5 linked regions of the Oryctolagus cuniculus genome follow. The protein of the gene in region 5 interacts with the protein of the main gene of each other region in a pairwise test. Links are inferred from orthologs where the notes say so. Each region holds a gene or a part of one and is shown on either strand. Other genes may lie near its edges.

Region 1 (4,242 bases), on a different chromosome or scaffold from region 5:
ATTAGGAAAGGCCTGGACAACTCAGGGCTGGACAGTCGGGCGCAGGTGTGCAGAGACCTTGAAGAAAGCCAGTTGAGAATATAGCTGGGGTGTGGCTTGCCCTGAGCGTGTGGCCCTTCCGTTGCTCTCTGTGTTCCGTGACCACCCGGCTTCCTTTTCTGCCCTCCTGCTGCCTGTTCTAAGCCTAACCTCACGCCTGGAGTGCCGGGGCAGCGGCTGCCCCCGGTCCGTGCTACAAACAGGTCCGTTTTCTAGGCTAGGCCAGCGCTTCCCCAGTAGCCCTGGCTCAAGTGCCCACATGAACACGCCTTTCAATACCTTCGCTTTAATTACTGGGCCATTCCAGTCTCATTAAGTTATTTTTTTTAAATCAAGTTATTTATTTGAATGGCAGAGAGACAGAGCTCCCATGTGCTGGTTCACTCCCCAGTGCCTACTACAGCTGGGCCTGGGCCAGGCTGAAGCCGGCATCTAGGCGCTCAATCCAGGTCTCCCACAAGCATGGCCGGGGCCCAGCTACTCGAGTCCTCGGCTGCAGCCTCCAAGTGTGCGTTAGCAGAAAGCTGGAATGGAATGCTGGCATCGCAGGTGGCTGCTTAACCCACTGCCACAGTGCTGGCCCTGATAATGCACTTTTGTTTAAAAAAATATTTATTTAATTGAAAGGCAGAGAGAGAGAAAAAAGTCTTCATCCACTGGTTCACTCCCCAGATGGCCGCAACAGCCAGACCTGCGCCGATCCTAAGCCAGGAACCAAGAGCTTCTTCTGGGTCTTCCCACACTGATGCAGGGGCCCAAGGACTTGGGCCATCGTCTACTGCTTTCCCAGGCCACAGCAGAGAGCTGGATCAGAAGTGGAGCATCTGGGACTCGAACCGGTGCCCATATAGGGTGCTGGCACTGCAGATAGGAGCTCTACCCACTATACCACAGCGCTGCCCCAATGATGCACTTTTAATTGATAATCTTTTTCAGGCAGATGAGTTACTTAGAGCCAGCAGAAATGTAATAGCCTATATAAAAATGCATATATTAATGTAACATGATGATCTGCTACATAGTATATAGTTACTCTTTATGGTGGTATATTTGTGACAATTTTATATATAAATCCCATGTTTACTTATATAAATAGTCCTGGCAGGTTTGCCATGAGACTCTGAGTTTATATTCTTAACTACACTGTCAAGACTCAGGAGTGAAGTGCTGTCTTTCCTTCAATGCCAAGTCCTGTATTAGGTCATTGTAAGTATCTGTTGTCATAAACAAATATCAGGCTGTAGCAGACAAGCAGCCTGGCCCCAGGGAGCCCTTCCTTGGGGGAGAGAGAGGGTCTAATTCCCTGTGTTCAGTTGTCTGTGTTCCAAATGATATCCTTTCCGTTGTTTGATTCGAGATGAATTCCCAGTGCAGAACACCCTCACTGAAATGATTCGCTTCTTGCAGATTAAGGACGATTGGCCTGGCTACGACTTGAACTTGTTCACGTACCCGCAGCACTATTCCGGCGACCTGGAGTATGTGCTCATACCGCATGGCATCATCGTGGACAGGTGAGTGAGTGAGCTGGGCTGGCCCGCCCACGTGCGTGAATCGTGTGAGACGCCCGAGTCCCTTTTCACGGTGGCAGAGAGAAGTGGTGTCGGACAGCAAATTGGGGACGGACTGAGTCTGGGCGTGTGCCGAGTGGTTTACCTGCGTGTGTGTTCAGGCGGGATGTTCAAAGGCTATGTGTGTGTGTGTGTCGCTGTTCTGTCACAGTCTGGAGACTACAGGGTCCCCTACAGATGATCATGCCAGGAAAGCGTGGGTTTGTGTCCCAGTTAACCAGGGAGGAACAGGAGGAAATCTTCACTTCCTAGGGTACCCCCTGAACCCCTGGATTTTTCTGCAATGCTGATCTCTCTTGCGCCAAACCATGCATCCCAGGTGGGCTGGTGTGCGGAGAGCGGCGTTTTCTAACCACTGGTGGGAATAGTAGTATTTGCAGCTTAAAATATATACTGAGAACGAGTTCTAGAACAGAATCTTTTTTTTTTCCTGATGTGTCTACATCCCTACCCTCTGGCTTCTTCCTTGCTGATGGCCTGTCCTGAAACCAACATTTTCTCTCCTGTGCTGTGTCACCCCCACTTAGCTCCTCCTGTTCAGTCCTACCACACCAATGATTAATAGGTCAGATCCTTAACAAGCCTGCATCAGCACCAAGAACTTGAGTTGCTTTCTGTGGGCCTCAGATTTCTGGTGCGAAGGTCAAGTACAGAGTCCTGCAGGTTTCTTTATTTCTGAAAGATTTATATAGAGAGGGAGAGATGGAGAAAGAGGTGTTCTGTCCACTGGTTCACTCACCAAATGGCCATAAGAGCCTGAGCTGAGCCAGGCCAAAGCCAGGAGCCCAGAGCTTCATCTGGGTCTCCCACATGGGTGCAGGGGCCCAAGCACTTGGGCCATCTTCTACTGCTTTCCCAGGAGCATTAGCAGGGAGCTGAATTGAAAGTGGAGCAGACGGGACTCGAACCAGCGCCTGTGCTAGCACTGCAGGTGGCAGCTTAACCTGGGAGGCCACGTGCTGGCCGTGACCTGCACATGTCAGTGGTGAACAAGCATCCTGCTTTTCAGGGGAAACTCTCTGGAACCCTGCGGATTCTTCGGGGGACCAGAATTTGGGGTGAAGTCAGCAATAGGGAGAAGTTTGACTTCTCACTGCAACCCTTTGCTTACACCATAGTATCTCTGCTTTTATATATTTTTGATCTGTTAAAAAAATAAAAAAGCTTTCTGAATTCAGCTCTAACTTTAATAAATAGCTCCTCAAAGCCAAAGAAAAGTTAAAAAGCATTCAACGGTCATGGTTCCTAGGATAGGAGGGAGCTTCAGAAAGTTCATGGAAGAGTGGAAGTTGAAAGATTAAATTTATTTTGGTGCAAAAGAATTTTGAATTTCTTGCATAGTTTTTTGTTTACTTGTTGTACTCGAGAGGCAGAAAGACAAAAGGAGAGACAGAGAGGTCTTCCATTCACTGGTTCACTCCCCAAATGGCTGCAGCAGCCAGGGCTGGGCCAGACCGAAGCCAGAGGCCTGGGACTCCATCTGTGTGTGGCAGGGGCCCAAGTGCTTGAGCTCCAGCTGTGCTTCCCGGGGTGCACTTGGCAGGAAGCTGGAATCGGGAGTAGAGCCTGGACTTGAACTCGGGCACTGTGATACATGGGATATGGACATCACGAGTGGGGTCCTAACCACTACACCCAGCGGCCGCCCTGCATAGTTTGTCCGTGTACTTGTGTGTGTGTGTGTGTGTGTGTGTGTGTTTGACAGGCAGAGTGGACAGTGAGAGAGACAGAGAGAAAGGTCTTCCTTCGTCGTTGGTTCACCCTCCAATGGCCGCCGCGCTGATCTGATGGCAGGAGCCAGGTACTTCTCCTGGTCTCCCATGGGGTGCAGGGCCCAAGCACTTGGGCCATCCTCCACTGCACTCCCTGGCCACAGCAGAGAGCTGGCCTGGAAGAGGGGCAACCGGGACAGAATCCGGCACCCCGACCGGGACTAGAACCTGGTGTGCCGGTGCCGCAAGGCGGAGGATTAGCCTAGTGAGCCGCGGCGCTGGCCCGTGTACTTGTGTTAATACCATCCTATCAGTCTGTCGGGAAGCCAAGAGGAATTTCATTCCCCCAAATTCTGAGATTTGCCATTGGATGGAACTTCCACAGGCGTGATGTTTCCTCTCCTGACTTACAGTATAATACACGATAAGCTGTGGTTTGGGGTTTTTCTTGGCCTAGGGTGGTTTCCCATAGATTGCTAAAGCAGGTCTGATCCTCAGAGGGAGAAAAGGTCCCTGACCAAATAAACCTGAGAAACTGTACATTTCCCAAGCTGCCAACTCTCCCCATTGTCAAAACACATGTGAGTGTATCAGAGATACAGAAATTTTGGCAAAAATACGAAACAGAGACACCTGCTTATCTTTGACAATTAAACCAACTTTTTTTTTTTTAAAAAAGTTATTTATTTGAAAGGGAGGGAGGGAGGGACAGGGAGAGAGGTCTTCCATCCGCTGGTCCACTCTCCAAATGGCTCAACAACTGGAGCTGGGCCAATCCAAAGCTAAGAGCTTAGAGCTTCTTCCGGGTCTCGCATGTGGATGCAGGGGCCCAAGCTCTTGGGCCATCTTGCATTGTTTCACTAGGTGCATCAGCAAAGAGCTGGATCAGTAGTAGAGCAGCAGGGACTCAAACCGGTGCC
Region 2 (4,242 bases), on a different chromosome or scaffold from region 5:
AAGGCATTAACCCGCTGTACCACAGCGCCAGCCCCATCTCTAGCATACATTTCTAGAAGTAGAGTTCTTGGAAATGCTAGATCAAAAGGTAGATATATTTATCATTGTAAAGCTGCTCTACAAAGTATTTCATCCCTGTACATGTACTCATTGTGTGTACCTTCACCTGTTTCGCGTTTAAAAAGATAATGGGACATAGGGCTATAAAGACAGAACCATGAATGCCAGGGAAAATTAATAAAATCATGTTGGCCAGATAATAAAAAGCATGAAAATCATATTGTCTTAGGGATATGGTCATGATTTAAGATGAATCTGGCTTCAGTATGTAGGATGCATTAGAAGAATCAGGATTTAGCAGCAAGGAGTACTTATCATTTCCTAGAAATAACATCATAAAGCTCTAAACCAAGTTAGGTGAAGCAGTTAGAAAAGAAAGGGACAGATGTGGATGATTAATGTGTTTAGTATCTTTTATTTGTATGCTGAAACATTCTTTAAATAGTTTTCCTCAAGTCCTCCCCTTCAAAAAGAAATATTTTACCAAGGTAGAAACTCGTATTTTAAAAATTGTTTCTTTGTAGGTGCTCCAAATACTGCAGAATTAAGGATTTGTCGTGTAAACAAGAACTGCGGAAGTGTAAGAGGAGGAGATGAAATATTTCTACTTTGTGACAAAGTTCAAAAAGGTACTTCATTTTTGTATTTTGGTTCATTAAATTCAGAATGTTTTTAGATTAATAGATGGATTTTATTTTGTTTTCCCTTTGTTATTTCTTTGGTTTCTTATTTACTAGATGACATAGAAGTTCGTTTTGTATTGAATGATTGGGAAGCAAAAGGCATCTTTTCACAAGCTGATGTACACCGTCAAGTAGCCATTGTTTTCAAAACTCCACCATATTGCAAAGCTATCACAGAACCAGTAACGGTAAAAATGCAGCTTCGGAGACCTTCTGACCAGGAAGTTAGTGAATCTATGGATTTTAGATATCTGCCAGATGAAAAAGGTATGACATTTTGGTGGCCCATAATCCTTGGGCCCCTGCACCCACGTGGGAGACCTGGAAGAAGCTCCTGGCTCCTGGCTTTTGGATGGGCCTGGCTCCGGCCATTGCAGCCATTTGGGGAGTATGCCAGCGGATGGAAGACCTTTCTTTCTGCCTCTCCCTCTCTCTGTCTATAACTCTGCCTCTCAAAACAATCTTTAAAACATTTCTTAATTTATTTGAATGAAAGAAAGCTCCCAACTGCTGGTTCACTCTTCAGATGCTCAGAATGGTTGGGGCAGGGCTGGGGTCTAGGCCGAACCAGGAACTCAATCTGGGTCTCCCACATGGGAAGGGACCCAATTATGTGAGCCCCCATTTCTGCCTCCCAGTGTCTGTATTAACAACTAGGAGTCAGGAGCTAGAGCCAGGAAACCGATCAAACCCAGGCACTCCAACGTGGGATGCGAGCATCTTTAACTGCTAGGCTAAACACCTGCCCCCTTTCCATGAACTCTTTGAAACCTCGTGTTATTAATGTATGTTTCTTTTCCTGAAAGTTTTCATTTTTTTTCTATTCCTCTATTTTTAAAAATACTCATTTTATTTGAAAGGCAGAGAGAAAGATCTTCCATCTGCTATTTCACTCTTCAAATGCCTGCAACAACCAGGGCTCAACCAGGCTAATGCCAGAGGCCTGGAGCTCAGTTCTGGTCTCCCACATGGATGGTCCTGAACCCAACTACTTGGGCCATCACCTGCTACCTCCTATGGTGTACATTAGCAGGAACCTGGATTGGAAGTGGAATAGCCAGGACTCAAACCAAACACTCTGATAAGGGATACAGACATCCCAAGCAGCAACTTAACACTTTGCCAAACACCTGCTCTGATTTTTTTTTTCCTTTACATGCTTTACATCTGTTTCTTAGGTTTGATTAATCTGGAATTGTTTGAGTATTTGAGCTGTTTATCAAATTTTCTGTTTTATTTTTGAGGCTCTATTTTTTTCTCTTGTGCATCCTTTTAAAAGAGGGGAAACTTGCCACTCAGACTGGTCTTTGTTTTGGCTCTTTTATCAGAACATTTTTTATTAGTTGATGTTGTTAACTTATAGGTATTAGAAGCAAACAAGATAAATATTTGAAACATTTTTACACGATAAAATATTCTTTCCCACTGGTTTGGGACATTCTTTACACTTTTATACTTACTAAGTCCATACTATGTACATTTATTTAAAGCATTTTCATATTCTTGTTGAAATAAAACGCCTGTTTGTTTATTAATGGAGAGGAAACATAATCATGGTGATTCACCTGCTTTCTTCATTTCTTTTTTAATCAGATACTTACGGCAATAAATCAAAGAAACAAAAAACTACTTTACTTTTCCACAAACTGTGGCAGGATTGCGGTAAGTGTATTTTGTATTGATTCATATTTATGTAGGTTATATATTTTGCTTTTCATTTTTTTCAAATTTTAACTGATAATGTTATTTTTCAAATTATACTTAATAATGGGAAAACTTTATCATAACAGTTAATTTTCCTGAGAGATCAAGACCAGGTTTCCGAGGACCAGGAGAAGGAAGATTCATCAAAAAAGGTATTTTATCCCCAACAGTATATTGCTTGTCATCAGACTAATATTTTATATAAGAATTCCATTTTTAGGAATGAGTAACTGCTTCTTTGTTAAACACTCCTGTAAACTTTTTTAGGCTTTCATTATTGAATGAATTGAGCTCAGTACCTGAAAGTTGCCCTGAAAACAGATTATGTTTTGCAGATTTACTGTCTAAGAAATTGTATTTTATTTATTTGGTGGTATTATTAATTGTAGTGTATCATGGAAGAAATGGTTTAAATCTGGCTGGTCATCTTTTTTATTTTTTATTTTTTTTAAAGATTTTATTTATTATTTGGGAGGTAGAGTTACAGAGAGAGAGAGGGAGAGAGAAAGGTCTTCCATCTGCTGGTTCACTCCCCAGTTGGCTGCAATGGCTGGAGCTGAGCTGGTCCAAAGCCAAGAGCCAGGAGCTTCTTCCAGGATTCCAAAGCAGGTGCCAGGGCCCAAGCAGTTAGTCCATCTTCCACTGCTTTCCATAGCAGAGAGCTGGATCAGAAGAAGAGCAGCTGGAACTAGAACCAGTGCCCATATGGGATGCTAGCCTTGCAGGAGGATGCTTAGGCCACTCACCACAGCATCAGCCCCGATTTTTTTTTTTTTAAGCCAGTGTCATCCATCACCCTTTGTTTGTTTGATATTTACTAATTTATTCATTCATTCATTGAGTTATTTGAAGGAGCCAGAAGCTTCTTCCGGGTCTTCCATGTGGGTGCAGGGGCCCAGGGACTTAAGCCATCTTCTGCTGCTTTCCAAGGCACATTAGCAGGGAGCTGGATCTGAAGTGGAGCAGCTGGGACACCAGCATCCATTTGGGATGCTGGTACTGCAGGTGGTGGCTTTACCCAGTATACAACAGTGCTGGCCCTGTCATCTATTTTTAAAAATTTTGATTGGAACACAGCCACAGTCATTTCATTATATATTGTTTCCAACTAGTCTCTTTTTTACAGTACAGCAACAGAGTTGGAATAATCCTAATAGAGGGTGTATATAGTCCACAAAACTTAAAATACTATGTGGTCCCTTACAGAAAAAAATTTGCCAAGCCCTGGTTTAGAAAATACAACCAAAAATTAATTGGTAGTCTTTTTCCCCCATTACATTATTTTTTTTAAAATTAGCTCACCTATTTTTACTTACTTCAAAAGACAGAGATCTCCTATCCACTTATTTACTCCCCAAATGCCTTCAACAGCTTTGGCTGGGCCAAATCGAAGCCATAATCTAAGCATTTAATCTGGGTTTTCTCAGTGAGTGGTAGGGACCCAACTACTTGAGCAATTATCTGCTACCTCCCAGGGTGCACATTAGCAGAAAACTGAATCAGGGGCCAGCGCTGTGGTGCAGCAGGTTAATGCCCTGGCCTGTTTGAGACCTGGCTGCTCCACTTCCCATCCAGCTCTCTGCTATGAGAGCACATTAGCAGAGAGCTAGATCAGAAGTAGAGCAGCCAGGTCTTACCAGTGCCCATATGGGATGCAGGCACTGCAGGCCAGGGCATTAATCTGCTGCACCACAGTGCTGGCCCCTCAAATGGAGTCTTAACCACTACAACAAACGTCCATTCTTCTCTTCACATACTCAAGGCACATTCTCCAAAGTCTCACTTTTTGCTGGTA
Region 3 (4,242 bases), on a different chromosome or scaffold from region 5:
ACTTCTCATCTTAACATACTGTAGAAATGAAATAGGCTTATTCCTGAGGAAACCTTTAGAATTGTGAAAGATGTGCTGTATCTTTACCCCGATTTAAGGTTTTAGCTCTTATCTATTAAATTCTCTATTTTGTTTTTTGTTATTTATTTGATAGGCAAGAGATAGAGAGAGGGACACATACACACAGAGGTAGAGAGCTTCCATTTGCTGGTTTACCTCCCCAGCAGTGGCTGGGACTAGGTCAGACCGAAGCCAGGAGTGTGAAATTCTGAGTCTCCCTTGTGCATGCAAATATTTAGGACATATTTTGCTGCTCTCCCAGGCGCATTAGCTGGGAGCTGGACCAAAAGTGGAGCAGACGGAACGTGAACTGACACTCCCATAAGAGATGCCAGAGTCACAGGTGGTGCTTTAGCCCACCACAGTGCTGACCCCCATTGTAGGTATCTTGGCAGTGGATTTGTGCTCCAGCCAGTGCACACTGGCCCACGTCATGGAATGCCACCTAGTTCTTTCTTACTACCCCAAGGTTAACCAATGAGAAGAATGTGTGATGGCCATTAGCAGTGAGCCAGATTGGAAGTGGGACAGTCAGGACATGAACCGGCATCCATATGGGGTGCAGGCACCACCAGCATTAATTTTACCTGTTATGCCACGGTGCCAGCCCCCATAATGGATTCTTCACAAAGGCTCATGTGGAGGTTAATATGTTTATCATTTTGGGCTGTTAAACTCTGTAATCTTTCTTGATTCTGTATAACTTAGCAAATGAGTAAAGGAATCGATTCCTTCAGCTCAAAAGGTAGAAGTATGACCTTAAACCATCATTTTTTTAAGCTGTAAAAGAATTCACCTGACTTCCAACACTTAATTCACTTCCCACCTTCCATGGGAAACATCTGGCCCATGAGCCACATAAGGCCTGCAGTCCTTTGGTCTGGTACCCTTGCAATTATGATAATGTGCTTATACCTATTTGGCATTGTTGGACTCAGACACTTGATTTAGTTATCCTACTTTATTTCCTTAGTCTTTTTATTTCAAGGTGGTGGAGGGGTGACTGAAGTTGACCTAGTGCATCATGATTTGAGTTTCATTTTTTTTGATTATTCTCTGGGGGCTTTGCCTTGATAAATTCTTCAGTTTGTTTTTAAGGGAGTGAGAGCACATTATATTCCTATTGTTTTTTCTCTTTAGTTTTGGTTATTAGATTTCAACTACAAACAGCTGTTTCCTAATTTTCCAATGTGTTAAAACCATTATTACAGCAGTGGTAAATGACCAAAGTTATTTCCTTATTATCTAGGGTATATTTGTTCAGCTAGTCCAGGCAAATTCTCCAGCCTCATTGGTTGGTTTGAGATTTGGCGACCAGGTACTCCAGATCAATGGTGAAAACTGTGCAGGCTGGAGCTCCGATAAAGCTCACAAGGTGCTCAAACAGGCTTTTGGAGAGAAGATTACAATGACCATTCGTGACAGGTAAGCTGCTGCTAAAAACAGTTCAAATGGAAATTTTCTTTGGCTTTAGGATTCTGTGAATACAGTGTGTTGTTCCAGAAAACTATCAAATGTTACTGATGAGCCTTACAGTCTTGCAGATGGTACAGGTGGTTCTTACGTAGTTTTATTTTTTTTTAAATAGCATTTTGATTTTACAAAAACACCTTACTTCTGAGCTTATAAGAATTTGACCTCTCAGTAGGTATTCTCCATTCTCTTTAGAAAACAAAAGGTGTTGGAAAAGTAGTTACGTAGCATGACATCTCTGGTCTCACTTACCCAAAGTCCTCTGCTAAAGCATACAGTCTAGGGCCTTTACATACAGTGTTAGGATTCCTTGTGAGGGTCAGAGCCTGTGTAGAACTAAGTGGGTTCAGAGTCCTGAAAATGAGATCTGGCCTTATGGGTGGAAGGTGCTATTTTGTAGTTATTTATAATTTTTAATTTAAAAAATTTTTTTCAATTGAAAGGCAGAGCAACAAATAGTGGAGCAGACAGTACATGAACCAGGTGCCCATATGGGATGCTGGCATCACAGGCAGCGGCTTAACCCGCTAGGCCACAACGCTGGCCCCAAAAGAAGTCTTGAGTAATGAGTCAAACCATAATGAAGAGATCTAAAACAAACAAAAAACCACCTTTTAAAACAATAAAAGTAGTCTGTGAATGTATGCTCTCACTTATAGTAAGTTGCTCTTACTAGAAACATTTTGCCTTTATTGTAACAAGTACCCAGTATGGCAGAGCTTATTGCATATGAAATCTATTAAAATGTTTATCCTGAATTTAAATTTTTAATTGAACTCATGTTTATAGGCCTTTTGAGCGGACAATTACTATGCATAAGGACAGTACTGGACATGTTGGCTTTATCTTTAAAAATGGGAAAATAACATCCATAGTGAAAGACAGTTCTGCAGCCAGAAACGGTCTCCTCACGGAACATAACATCTGTGAGATCAACGGCCAGAATGTCATTGGATTGAAGGTACGTGACAGACCTTGTGCCTCACGGTCATTTTGCAAGTGTCTTTTTCTTTGACATGTTTTCGTACTTCCAGAATAGAGAAACTAAGTGGACAAGGGGAGACATGAGACAGATTTGGGGCTCTGGCATAAGCTAGCTGAGCTCTTTGGCTGTTACCAGGTTCTCTCTGCTGTTACCTAGATTTATCATTCCTGTATGAGGAGGGGTATCAGAAATCTGAAAACAGAGCTACCACATGACGGCCGTCCCACTCCTGGGAATTTATCCAGATGAAATGAAATCAGCATATGAATTATCTGCACCTCCATGTTTATTGCATCTCAGTTCACAATAGCTAAGATAGGGAATCAACCCAGATGTCCATCAACCCATGACTACAGAAAGAAAATGTGGTATATATATGCACTATGGAATATTACTGAGCCATAAAGAAGAATGAAATCTTTTTTTTTAAGATTTTATTTATTTGAAAGAGTTACAGAGAGGAGTTAGAGACAGAGATAGAGGTCTTCCATCCACGGGTTAACTCCCCAGATGGCCGCAACGGCTGGAGCTGTGCCAATCCGAAGTCAGGAGCCAGGAGCTTCCTCCAGGTCTCCCATGTGGGTACAGGGCCCCAAGGACTTGGGTCATCTTGTACTACTTTCCCAGGCCATAGCAGAGAGCTGGATCGGAAGAGGAGCAGCCGGGACTAGAACCGGCGCCCACATGGGATGCCTATGCTGCAGGCCAAGGCTTTAACCCACTGTACCACAGTGCCGGCCCCGAAGAACAAAATCTTTATCAACAAAATGGATGCAACTGGAAAGCATTATACTTCGTGAAATAAGCCAGTCCCAGACAGACAGTGTTTCCCCAATCTGTTACAATAGATTACAAAAAATGTATATGACCAAAATTGACATTTTGAGATTTGATTATTTATAGCCCTTGTTTCTACTGTTGAGGAAAAGTGATTTTTTTCTTCTTACTATTAAATTCTTTAAGTACTGGAGGGTTAAGTTTATGATTATAAAATAAAGTATGTCATTGTAAAAATTTTAAAAAAGGAAGAAGGGTGGGAAGTATGACTGTGCTCCTAAATGTGTATATATGAAATACATGAAATTTGTTCACCTTATATAAATTATTTTTAAAAAGGAGTGGTAGACAAAAATGTTTTGTGAAGTCCCTGGAGTGAACTTTGGTGAAGGACATGAGCAGTGATTTTCATGACTTTCTGAATGAATATTTCCCCAGCTGTTTTTCAGTACAGGAATATAGGAAATGAGTAAAAGCTTTGGATCACGTTCATACCTTTTAGTTTTTTCTCCTCCTAAAATCCCTAAATATGAGGGCACTTCAAAATTTTTGTGGGAAAATGGAATTAAAAGTTTTTAAGTCCCTACAGATTGAATAATACACTTGCATGAACATTTTGAATTCCCTTAAGTCTGTCTTAAGGTCAAAATGTTAATTAAGACCTGCCTATGTCATAAAGTTTGGCTGAGTGTACATGGTTAACAGAAAAGATAATTTTCCCCATATACAGTACCACAATATTACCTGAAATAATGAAAATGTGACTTTTTTCTAATATATTCAACTCAGTTTTGTTACTATCTATAAAACTGCTTTCTATAGAATAAAACTTGGTAAGGAAAACTAGAAAAATAACAAATATCTTAGTGTTTTAGACATGCTAGCCTAACATAACAAGAGGTATGGTGTATATTTCTTTACCAAGAATAATTTTTTTTATTAAAGGC
Region 4 (3,008 bases), on a different chromosome or scaffold from region 5:
TGTTTGGGGGGCAGTGGCCTTTTGCCTTTCTAGCTGTGCGGTTTGGGATGCAAGTCTCATCTCGTAAAGCAGCTGCCCTTTGAACTTGGCCTGAGGTCACTGGGTGACTTTCCTCTCCAGCCAGCTGCATGGTGGAGCTAGGGGCTGTGCTCAGGGTGGGAGGGGCCGTGGGGTAGGTGTGGCAGGTGTGGCTTCAGCAGAGCTGTCCCCCCCAGAGCCTGTGAATCTGGTCCTGTCCCCAGGAAAAGCTGGAGTCAGGCCAGAGCAGGGCGCCCTCGCGAGCAGACTCCCCCTCACTTTTCCGGAGTGGGAGGTGTGCAGCCTGGGTGGACCAGCCATCTTTCATGTCCATTGCCCACAAAACGGGTTTCTTGGAGGCAGGCAGGGCTGTGAAGGGTCCAGACTTTGGCTCACCTGGTGTGCCTGGCAGGATGTGGCTCAGCCGGGGGAGAGACCGCCACCCCGCCCCACCTTCCCCCGAGGCCACCCACCTGATGCCATCCTTGGGAAAGGCCCCCAGCCTACGGCACCTGTCAGCTGCCGTCTGGAGGGGGAGAGGCAGGGAGGAGGCCCAGCCAGAGCTGCAGGCACAGAGGCGTCCTAACACCACGGTCTTCTCAGCGCCTTGGCCAGGTGCTGCCCAAGCATGTCCCCCACCTCTGAGACTGTTGCTGTCACCGGCCTCTTCCTAGAGAGGAGGAAAGGGGAGCGCAGAGACGCTAAGCCACTGGTCGGGGTCGCCCCGCGGAGCCTGCCCTCCAACCCAGCCCCTGTCACACCTGCTGCTGCTCGGCCTGCCTGGAGGGACTCCTGCCCCCACCCTGGCACTCTCTCAGCTTCCATAGACCAGGAAACGGAGGCCCAGAGACATGCAACGTCTACGTGGGAAGCCGTGGGGCTGGGATGACAGCCTGCGTGTTTTTACTCCAAAGCCCGGGGTTCACTTTTCCAGGCAGGAATGATGGGGGAGGTTGTGTTGGGAGGCTGGAGGAGCCCCTGCCTACGCCTCCCTCTGGGAACCGACTTCCTGGCCAGGACTATCACTGGGAAACTACTGGACTCTGGCAATTCACACCCCTGAGGGCCACCTCAGGGGAGGACAAATTGATTTTAGCTGATAACGCTGATGGCAAACAGGACCCTGCTCCCGGCCAGGCCATTGCAGTGAGGTCATGCTGTGGACATAAGCTCGCCCCGTGCTGCCCATGCCCCCATTGACGTCAGGGTGCCTGGCTGGCTGAGTTCTGCCCCCACCTGGGGTCTGTTGGGGGGTGGGGGTGGATGCCCCGCCCCAGCCAGGGTGCGGTAGAAAGTCCTTGTTGGGAACCGGGAAGCGTCCTCACCAAGGCCACCCTTCCACTGTCCCAGCCCTAGGCAGCATGTCGCAGCCGTCGGACGAGGCGCCACAGCCCCCGCACAGGAGCAAGGCTTGCCGCCGCCTCTTCGGGCCCGTGGACAGCGAGCAGCTGCGCCGAGACTGCGACGCACTCATGGCCGACTGCCTGCAGGAGGCCCGCGAACGCTGGAACTTCGACTTTGTCACTGAGACGCCGCTGGAGGGCAACTTCGCCTGGGAGCGCGTGCGGGGCCTGGGTCTGCCCAAGCTCTACCTGGCCCCGGGGCCCCGGGGTGGCAGGGAGGACCCGGCAGGGTGCAAGCGGCCGAGCACCTCAGCCGCCCTGCTGCCAGCGGCTCAGGAGGACCACGTGGACCTGTCGCTGACCTGCACCCTGGTACCTCGCTCCCCGGAACGGCCCGAGGAGTCCCCAGGCGGGCCTGGTACCTCTCAGGGCCGGAAACGGCGGCGGCAGACCAGCCTGACAGGTGAGGTCGGGTGTGGGGAGGGATGCTAGGGGGGACTGGGGCCCTCGGAACCCCCCCATGCGGGACCTGTCCTGTTTGCTTCAGCTTGTCCCCGAGAAGGGAAGCCGCCTAGGTGAGGCTGCACACAGGGCTGTAGCCAGCGTTTGTCCAGGGCGTATTTATTACCCGGCAGTCCTTGCTGAGCGACTGAAGACAATCTTGCTCCCCTTCCAAGGAGACGAGGCTCCGAGAGGGAGAGATTGGCCTGAGGTCGCGCAGGGCGTGTGCTGGGGAGAGGACACTGGCCGTAGCGCCATTCTGGCCTCTGCAAACTTTATTCCCTCCCCTCATCACACACGCGTCCCTCCCTCCCCCCACCTATCCGCCGTGTCCTCGTCGGCATTTTTCTACCCTGGATCCACTGTTCCTTCTGACCTTGACACGGGCCGTCTCTCCCACTAGCATATCAGCCCCACAAAAAAGGGATCTGGGCGTCTCTTGTTCATTGTGGAGTCCCCAGCCTGGAGAGCAGTGTCTGGTGGAGCAGGTGCTCCATGAAAGGTGAATGAGTGATGCTGGCATTTGGTCACCTATTACGCCGGGCCCTGGACCAAAGCCTTTAGAGAGACCATTGATTTCCTCCTTAGAGTGCACTCCCACGGAGAAGCCTCATTTGCAATTTATTACTTATTCATTCAAGAGACACAAAGAAAGCTTCCTTCTGCTGGTTCCCTCTCCAAATGTCCTCAGTAGCCTGGGTTGGGGCTGCAGGCAGGAGCTGGGAATTCAATCCAGGTCTCCCACATGGAACGCAGGAAACCGATTTCTTGGGCCATCAGCGGCTGCCCGGAATTCCAGAGTCGGCATTAGCAGGAAACTGGAGTCGGGAGTGAGAGCCGGAATAGAAGCCAGGCACCCTGGTGTGGGAGGCAGGCATCCTCCTTGCTGGGCTGGAGGCGCACTCCCACGCCTCGTTTTGTAGGTGAGGCAGCTGAGGCTGAGGGGTGCAGACGAGCGTCCTGTGGGCCATTTTCAGTTGGGTCTGAACTGATGGTGATGACAATGATGACTCCTGTGGACCTGGGCCAGGACACTTTCTGTGGACTGGTGGACTGCCTCCCACAGCGCTGACCAGCAGAGTTCTATGCAGGGGCGGGCCTGTCCAGTGCAGGGGTCCCTGCGTCCCAGGAACCAGATCTTTGCTT
Region 5 (4,904 bases):
CCTGGGGACCTTCACAAGTACTGACGCGGCCTGAGTCATTGCTAGACATGCTGACTGAATAGGTCTGGGGTGTGAACTGACGTAGGGACTTCTAGCATTTTTATGCAAGTAGTTATGAGCTTTGAGAAAACAAATGTGAAGTAGTTGCTTTAAGAAAACATATCACCAAAAACAGCTTACCCTTTGCTTTAGAAAACGGTAGTACAAAGTAAAGGAGCTTAATCTCCCTCTTCCCTGCCGCCATCCATTCATTCCTAGAAGAGTGGTTCTTCAGATGTCATTTCTGGACACAGGCTTCAACATCGCCTGAACATTTGTTACAGATGCAAATTCTTAGGCTCCTCCCTAGACCTACTGACTCCCAAAGGGAGGGGAGAGCCCCGCAGTGTTCAACAAGCTCTCCACCTGATCCTGGTGTGAACTTCATCTTGAGAACTCGTAGAGGATCAGAAGAGAATTGTTTGAGGGGGGGTCAAACGCTCACCTTTATCACCAGGATGCATGGATACTGTGCTCTTTATCATTAGGCAAGTCGCCTTGTTTGGAGTTCTGTTTTTTGAGAAAGAATGGTCTAGCAGCCTGGCTCCTCCATTCATGTGTTTTGTGGTTTCAGGCATCCCTTCACCTTTCTGAGCCTGTTCTCTGTCAAACAGAGATGTGATCCACAGGGATTTTGTAGGATAAAATGAGGCCAGGTGTGGTTCAGCACGCCTCCAAACAATGGCAGGAACTTTGGACAGGGCCCAGCAGCACCACACGGTGCTGGCATCCAAGCCTACTGAATCAGCATCTGCATTTTAAAGGTCCCCAGATGACTGATGTAAACATTACAGTTGAAGATGCACTTAAACCAAAAGCAACCGAAATGGGAATAAGCTAGGCTGCTGTGAGTCTAAGAGATACAGACACTCCCTACTCACTGCCTCATTCGGATCCACAAAACCAAAGACTGGGCAGGGAAAGGAGGGTTTGAACTAAGCACCATCTGGACAAGTTTGCTTGGCTTCATCGTTTACACTGGAGGCAAACGGAGCTTTCACACACCAACAGGCCGCCTACTCCACAGGCACTACCGGTCATCATTCTCAACTCCGGCTACAAAAATCAAATCCCTTCTGGAGCCGGTACCAGTCCCCGAGTCCTCAGCCCAGACGTGGTCATGGTGCATGAAAACGGGGAACGTAGGCACATGAGAAACTGACTACAGAGTGAGCGGAGGTTAGCATCCAGCCTCCCTCTACCTCCAGCTCCAGATGGAAGCGCCCCGAAGGCCTTAGGGCACCTCCAATCGCAGCTCATCCGCTCCGCTGAGCCGGCCCAGGCCCCGCCCTCCCCGCCGACTGAGGCCCGGCCCCCGCGTTTCCGGGCGGCTGTGACTATTTGGTTGTCGCCAATAACAACCCAGCATTGCTCCCGCTCGCTGGCTAGCGCCTGAGAGCGACAGTCAACTACACCAATGGAACCTTGAGAGAAGTCTAAGGGACAGCCCAAGTGACCAATCGCCATGAAGTACCTGTGGGGAGGGCGGGATTTTGAGTACGGAAGCTGTCCCGGGACATGAGGAAAGGAAAGAGGAAAACACCGGTGAAGGGGTAAAGCAGGCAGGTGAGAGCCGAGAAGAACTCAGTTTGAAAATTGGTGGGCAAAGAGGGGATTCCGGGCTAGAAAGGGTGCAGACGGCTGCAGGAAAAGGCTGCTGGATTCTGGTAGGGGGTGGAAGGGGAGAACGCATTTAAAGGAGCCGAGGCTCAGGTTGAGGCAGACGTTTAAAGGGGCCGACCCCCTGAACAGAAGAGACATTTAAAGGTGCAGATGCCCAAGATAGAGCAGACACTTGAGGAGACGGGCTCGGCTGACCCGAGACGTTTAAAGTGGTAGGTCATTTTAAGTAGGACAGTTTAAGCAGACTGGAGCCAAGTTTAGAGGACCTTTAAGAGTATGGGTAGGGGCTTGCGAACACGTTTGTTAGACGGGAATGAGGGAGTCGCTTGTCAGGGGTCTGGTTAGAGTAGACTGAGGGGCTTCCTCTAGGGAAGAACACGCTCTCCTGCTCTCTTCCCATTGTCCTTTCTGGTTCCTCCAGGTTCCCTCGACCCAGGACCCTGTTCCCAGGCTATGGCCCCCAGTGCCCTGTAGACCTGGCGGGCCTCCAGTGCTTGCGGCCCCTATTTGGGGGTCTGGGTGCCTACTGGAGGGCCCTGCAGAGGGGCAGAGAAGGCAGAACCATGGCATCTAGGGCTTCTGACCTTCCCCCGGGGCGCAGCGTGACGGCAGGCATCATCATTGTTGGAGATGAGATCCTCAAGGTTTGTCTGGGCTGGGACGTGGCGGGGGGTGGGGGTGGGGGTTGTCCTCAAGGGCCTGCTGCAGATCCCGTTGAGGGAGGCGAATCTGGGTGGGAGATTCTGTGCCGCAGCAGGATTCTGGACTGAGTCCAGCATACTGGAGGAACGGTGATCCTCATCCATTCAAAATTACTCTGTTGAAAAACTTGTAACAAAGCCCCTGCAATTTGCCCAGCATTATGATAGAAGGCAGAGGGGCCACCCAGCAGTGACAGCAAGCCCAAGTAAGCAACAGAGGTGCAGGTGCATGGGCTGTGTTTTTTTTTTTTTAAAGACTTTATTTATTTATTTGAGAGGTAGAGTTACAGACAGTGAGAGGGAGAGACAGAGAGAAAGATCTTCCTTCTGTTGGTTCGCTCCCCAAATGGCTGCAACAGCCGGAGCTGCGCTGATCCGAAGCCAGGAGCCAGGTGCTTCTTCCTGGTCTCCCATGCGGGTGCAGGGCCCAAGGACTTGGGCCATCCTCCACTGCCTTCCCGGGCCACAGCAGAGAGTTGGATTGGAAGAGAAGCAGCCAGGACTAGAACTGGCGCCCATATGGGATGCTGGCGCCACAGGTGGAGGATTAACCTGCTGCGCCATGGCATCGGCCCCAAGGCTGTATTTCTTTTTAAAGATTTGTTTGAAAAGCAGAGCAACAGAGAAATCTGCCATCCACTGACTAATACCCCAAATGGCTGTAACGGCTGGGGTTGGTCCTGGTTGAAGCCAGGAGCCTGGAACTCCATGGGTCTAGGAGACAAGAATGGCAGGGACCAAGCACTCGGCCATCTCCTGCTGCCTTCCCAGGCACATTAGCAGGGAGCGGGATCGGAAGCAGGGCAGCCAGGACTTGAACTATCGCTCCAATAGGGGATGCTGATGTTGCAGGCAGTGGCCTAACCCCCTGCGCCACAGCGCTTGTCCCAGTGTTCTGTATTCTTACAAGTTATATCCAGGCTATTTGAAAATTGTTCACAGCACTCAGCAGAGTGGATAAATAAGCTAGAAGGAAGGTGCTGGAATGGTCAGGAAGTCTTACTACAGGACACAGTAGGCGTTAGATTCTATGTTATAAGAGTAATATCAGTGCCTATCTTTTCAGAGCTTACCAGGGGCTGGCAGGGTGCTTATTACGTCACAAGCCTGGTTTTCCTAATTCTCACAATAACTCCATGCAATTGCTACTATTATTATGAATCTCAATTAGTGGGTTATTAAGCTGAGGCTCAGAGATGTTGAGAAGCTGGTCCAGTTACAGCCCTAGGAAGTGGAGGACATGGGATGCTGGCCTGATTTTCCCTTACTCTGAAACACAGTTTTTTTTGTTTTTTTTTTTTTTGTTTGTTTGTTTTGATTTGTTTATGGGGCTGGTGCTGAGGTGTAGCAGATAAAGCTGCCACCTGCAGTGCCAGCATCCCATATAGACTCCCGTTCAAGTACTGACTGCTCTTTTTCTGATCCAGCTCCACTATCGTCTGGGAAAGCAGTAGAAGATGGCCAAGTCCGTGGGCCCCTGCACTCACATGGGAGATCCAGATGAAGCTCCTGGCCCTGGCTTTGGATTGGCCTAGCTGCAGCCATTGCCACCAGCTGGAGAGTGAACTAGCAGATAAAAGACCTTTCTCTCTCTCTCTCTCTGCCACTGCCTCTCAAATAAATAAATATATCTTTTTTTTTCTTTCTTTTTTTTTTTTTTTTTTTTTAATATGAGAGGTAGAGTTACAGAAAGGGAGAGGGAGAGACAGAGAGAAAGGTCTTCCATCTGCTGGTTCACTCCCCAAATGGCCATAATGGCTGATCCAAAGCCAGGAGCATCTCCCGGGCCTCCCACATGGATGCAGAAGCCCAAGCACAAGGGCCATCTTCCTCTGCTTTCCCAGGCCATTAGCGGGGAGCTGGATTGGAAGCAGAGCAGCCGGAACTCAAACTGGCGCCCATACAGGATGCCGGCGCCTCAGGCAGCACCTCCTGTGCCACAGCACTGGCCCCTGGATCACAAGTTCTTAACCAGTCAATCCTCTGTGGGGAAGTAGAAGCAGATGGGGCTGGAAAAGAAGAGGGTGCGCGGCCTACACAGCCCCGGCTGCCTGCAGAGGAACGTGAACTTTCTCCTGTGCACAGCTGGAACCACAAATGGCTGCCGAGCCCCAAGCGCTGCAAGGACAGTGACACCTTAGGGAGGCTACTCAGCAGACACGGAGCAGAGCCCGTGCCCGGCCAGCAGGCTCTTGCCAGTGTCCGGGTGGAAGCTCCTGAGACCTGCCTGGTGGCAGCGAGGACAGGCCGGGAGACGTTTCCGAGGAGAGTTGGCAGGACGAAGGGCCTCAGCGGCCGTGGACAACAGCCGGGGGTACAGCGAGGCTGCGCCACGAGGGCTCGGAGCGAGGGCGCTGACACTGTCATGGGTCCCCCGAAGAACAGAGCACCCGTCATTAGGCAGGTGCAGCTGTCCCCTCCCTCTCTGCCCTTGGTCCCCAGAGCACTGACTGTCTCATCCTCCCCACCCCACCCCACCCCAGGGACACACTCAGGACACCAACACCTACTTTCTGTGCCGGACGCTGCGCTCCCTGGGGG

Evidence for each region.
Region 1: the proteins of FLAD1 (region 5) and PRTFDC1 interact in binary tests that used the Homo sapiens proteins (3 or more experiments, as listed by UniProt). The two-hybrid records come from large-scale screens. The link is inferred for Oryctolagus cuniculus from reciprocal best matches to the Homo sapiens genes FLAD1 and PRTFDC1.
Region 2: the proteins of FLAD1 (region 5) and REL interact in binary tests that used the Homo sapiens proteins (3 or more experiments, as listed by UniProt). The two-hybrid records come from large-scale screens. The link is inferred for Oryctolagus cuniculus from reciprocal best matches to the Homo sapiens genes FLAD1 and REL.
Region 3: the proteins of FLAD1 (region 5) and SDCBP interact in binary tests that used the Homo sapiens proteins (3 or more experiments, as listed by UniProt). The two-hybrid records come from large-scale screens. The link is inferred for Oryctolagus cuniculus from reciprocal best matches to the Homo sapiens genes FLAD1 and SDCBP.
Region 4: the proteins of FLAD1 (region 5) and CDKN1A interact in a two-hybrid assay, tested with the Homo sapiens proteins (2 studies listed by BioGRID and IntAct). The link is inferred for Oryctolagus cuniculus from reciprocal best matches to the Homo sapiens genes FLAD1 and CDKN1A.

Annotation. Positions count from the first base shown.
Region 1 is NC_091444.1:104,725,686-104,729,927, forward strand, and holds part of PRTFDC1 (phosphoribosyltransferase domain-containing protein 1), read left to right. Parts: intron 1-1,446; coding exon 1,447-1,553; intron 1,554-4,242. UniProt on the Homo sapiens protein: Has low, barely detectable phosphoribosyltransferase activity (in vitro). Binds GMP, IMP and alpha-D-5-phosphoribosyl 1-pyrophosphate (PRPP). Is not expected to contribute to purine metabolism or GMP salvage.
Region 2 is NC_091433.1:141,782,431-141,786,672, reverse strand, and holds part of REL (proto-oncogene c-Rel), read left to right. Parts: intron 1-584; coding exon 585-689; intron 690-797; coding exon 798-1,010; intron 1,011-2,336; coding exon 2,337-2,405; intron 2,406-2,533; coding exon 2,534-2,599; intron 2,600-4,242. UniProt on the Homo sapiens protein: Proto-oncogene that may play a role in differentiation and lymphopoiesis.
Region 3 is NC_091437.1:83,781,226-83,785,467, forward strand, and holds part of SDCBP (syntenin-1), read left to right. Parts: intron 1-1,309; coding exon 1,310-1,485; intron 1,486-2,322; coding exon 2,323-2,494; intron 2,495-4,242. UniProt on the Homo sapiens protein: Multifunctional adapter protein involved in diverse array of functions including trafficking of transmembrane proteins, neuro and immunomodulation, exosome biogenesis, and tumorigenesis.
Region 4 is NC_091436.1:132,894,352-132,897,359, reverse strand, and holds part of CDKN1A (cyclin-dependent kinase inhibitor 1), read left to right. Parts: intron 1-1,368; 5' UTR 1,369-1,379; coding exon 1,380-1,824; intron 1,825-3,008. UniProt on the Homo sapiens protein: Plays an important role in controlling cell cycle progression and DNA damage-induced G2 arrest. Involved in p53/TP53 mediated inhibition of cellular proliferation in response to DNA damage.
Region 5 is NC_091438.1:43,528,270-43,533,173, reverse strand, and holds the start of FLAD1 (FAD synthase), read left to right. Parts: upstream 1-1,771; 5' UTR 1,772-1,812; coding exon 1,813-1,874; intron 1,875-2,083; coding exon 2,084-2,306; intron 2,307-4,846; coding exon 4,847-4,904. UniProt on the Homo sapiens protein: Catalyzes the adenylation of flavin mononucleotide (FMN) to form flavin adenine dinucleotide (FAD) coenzyme.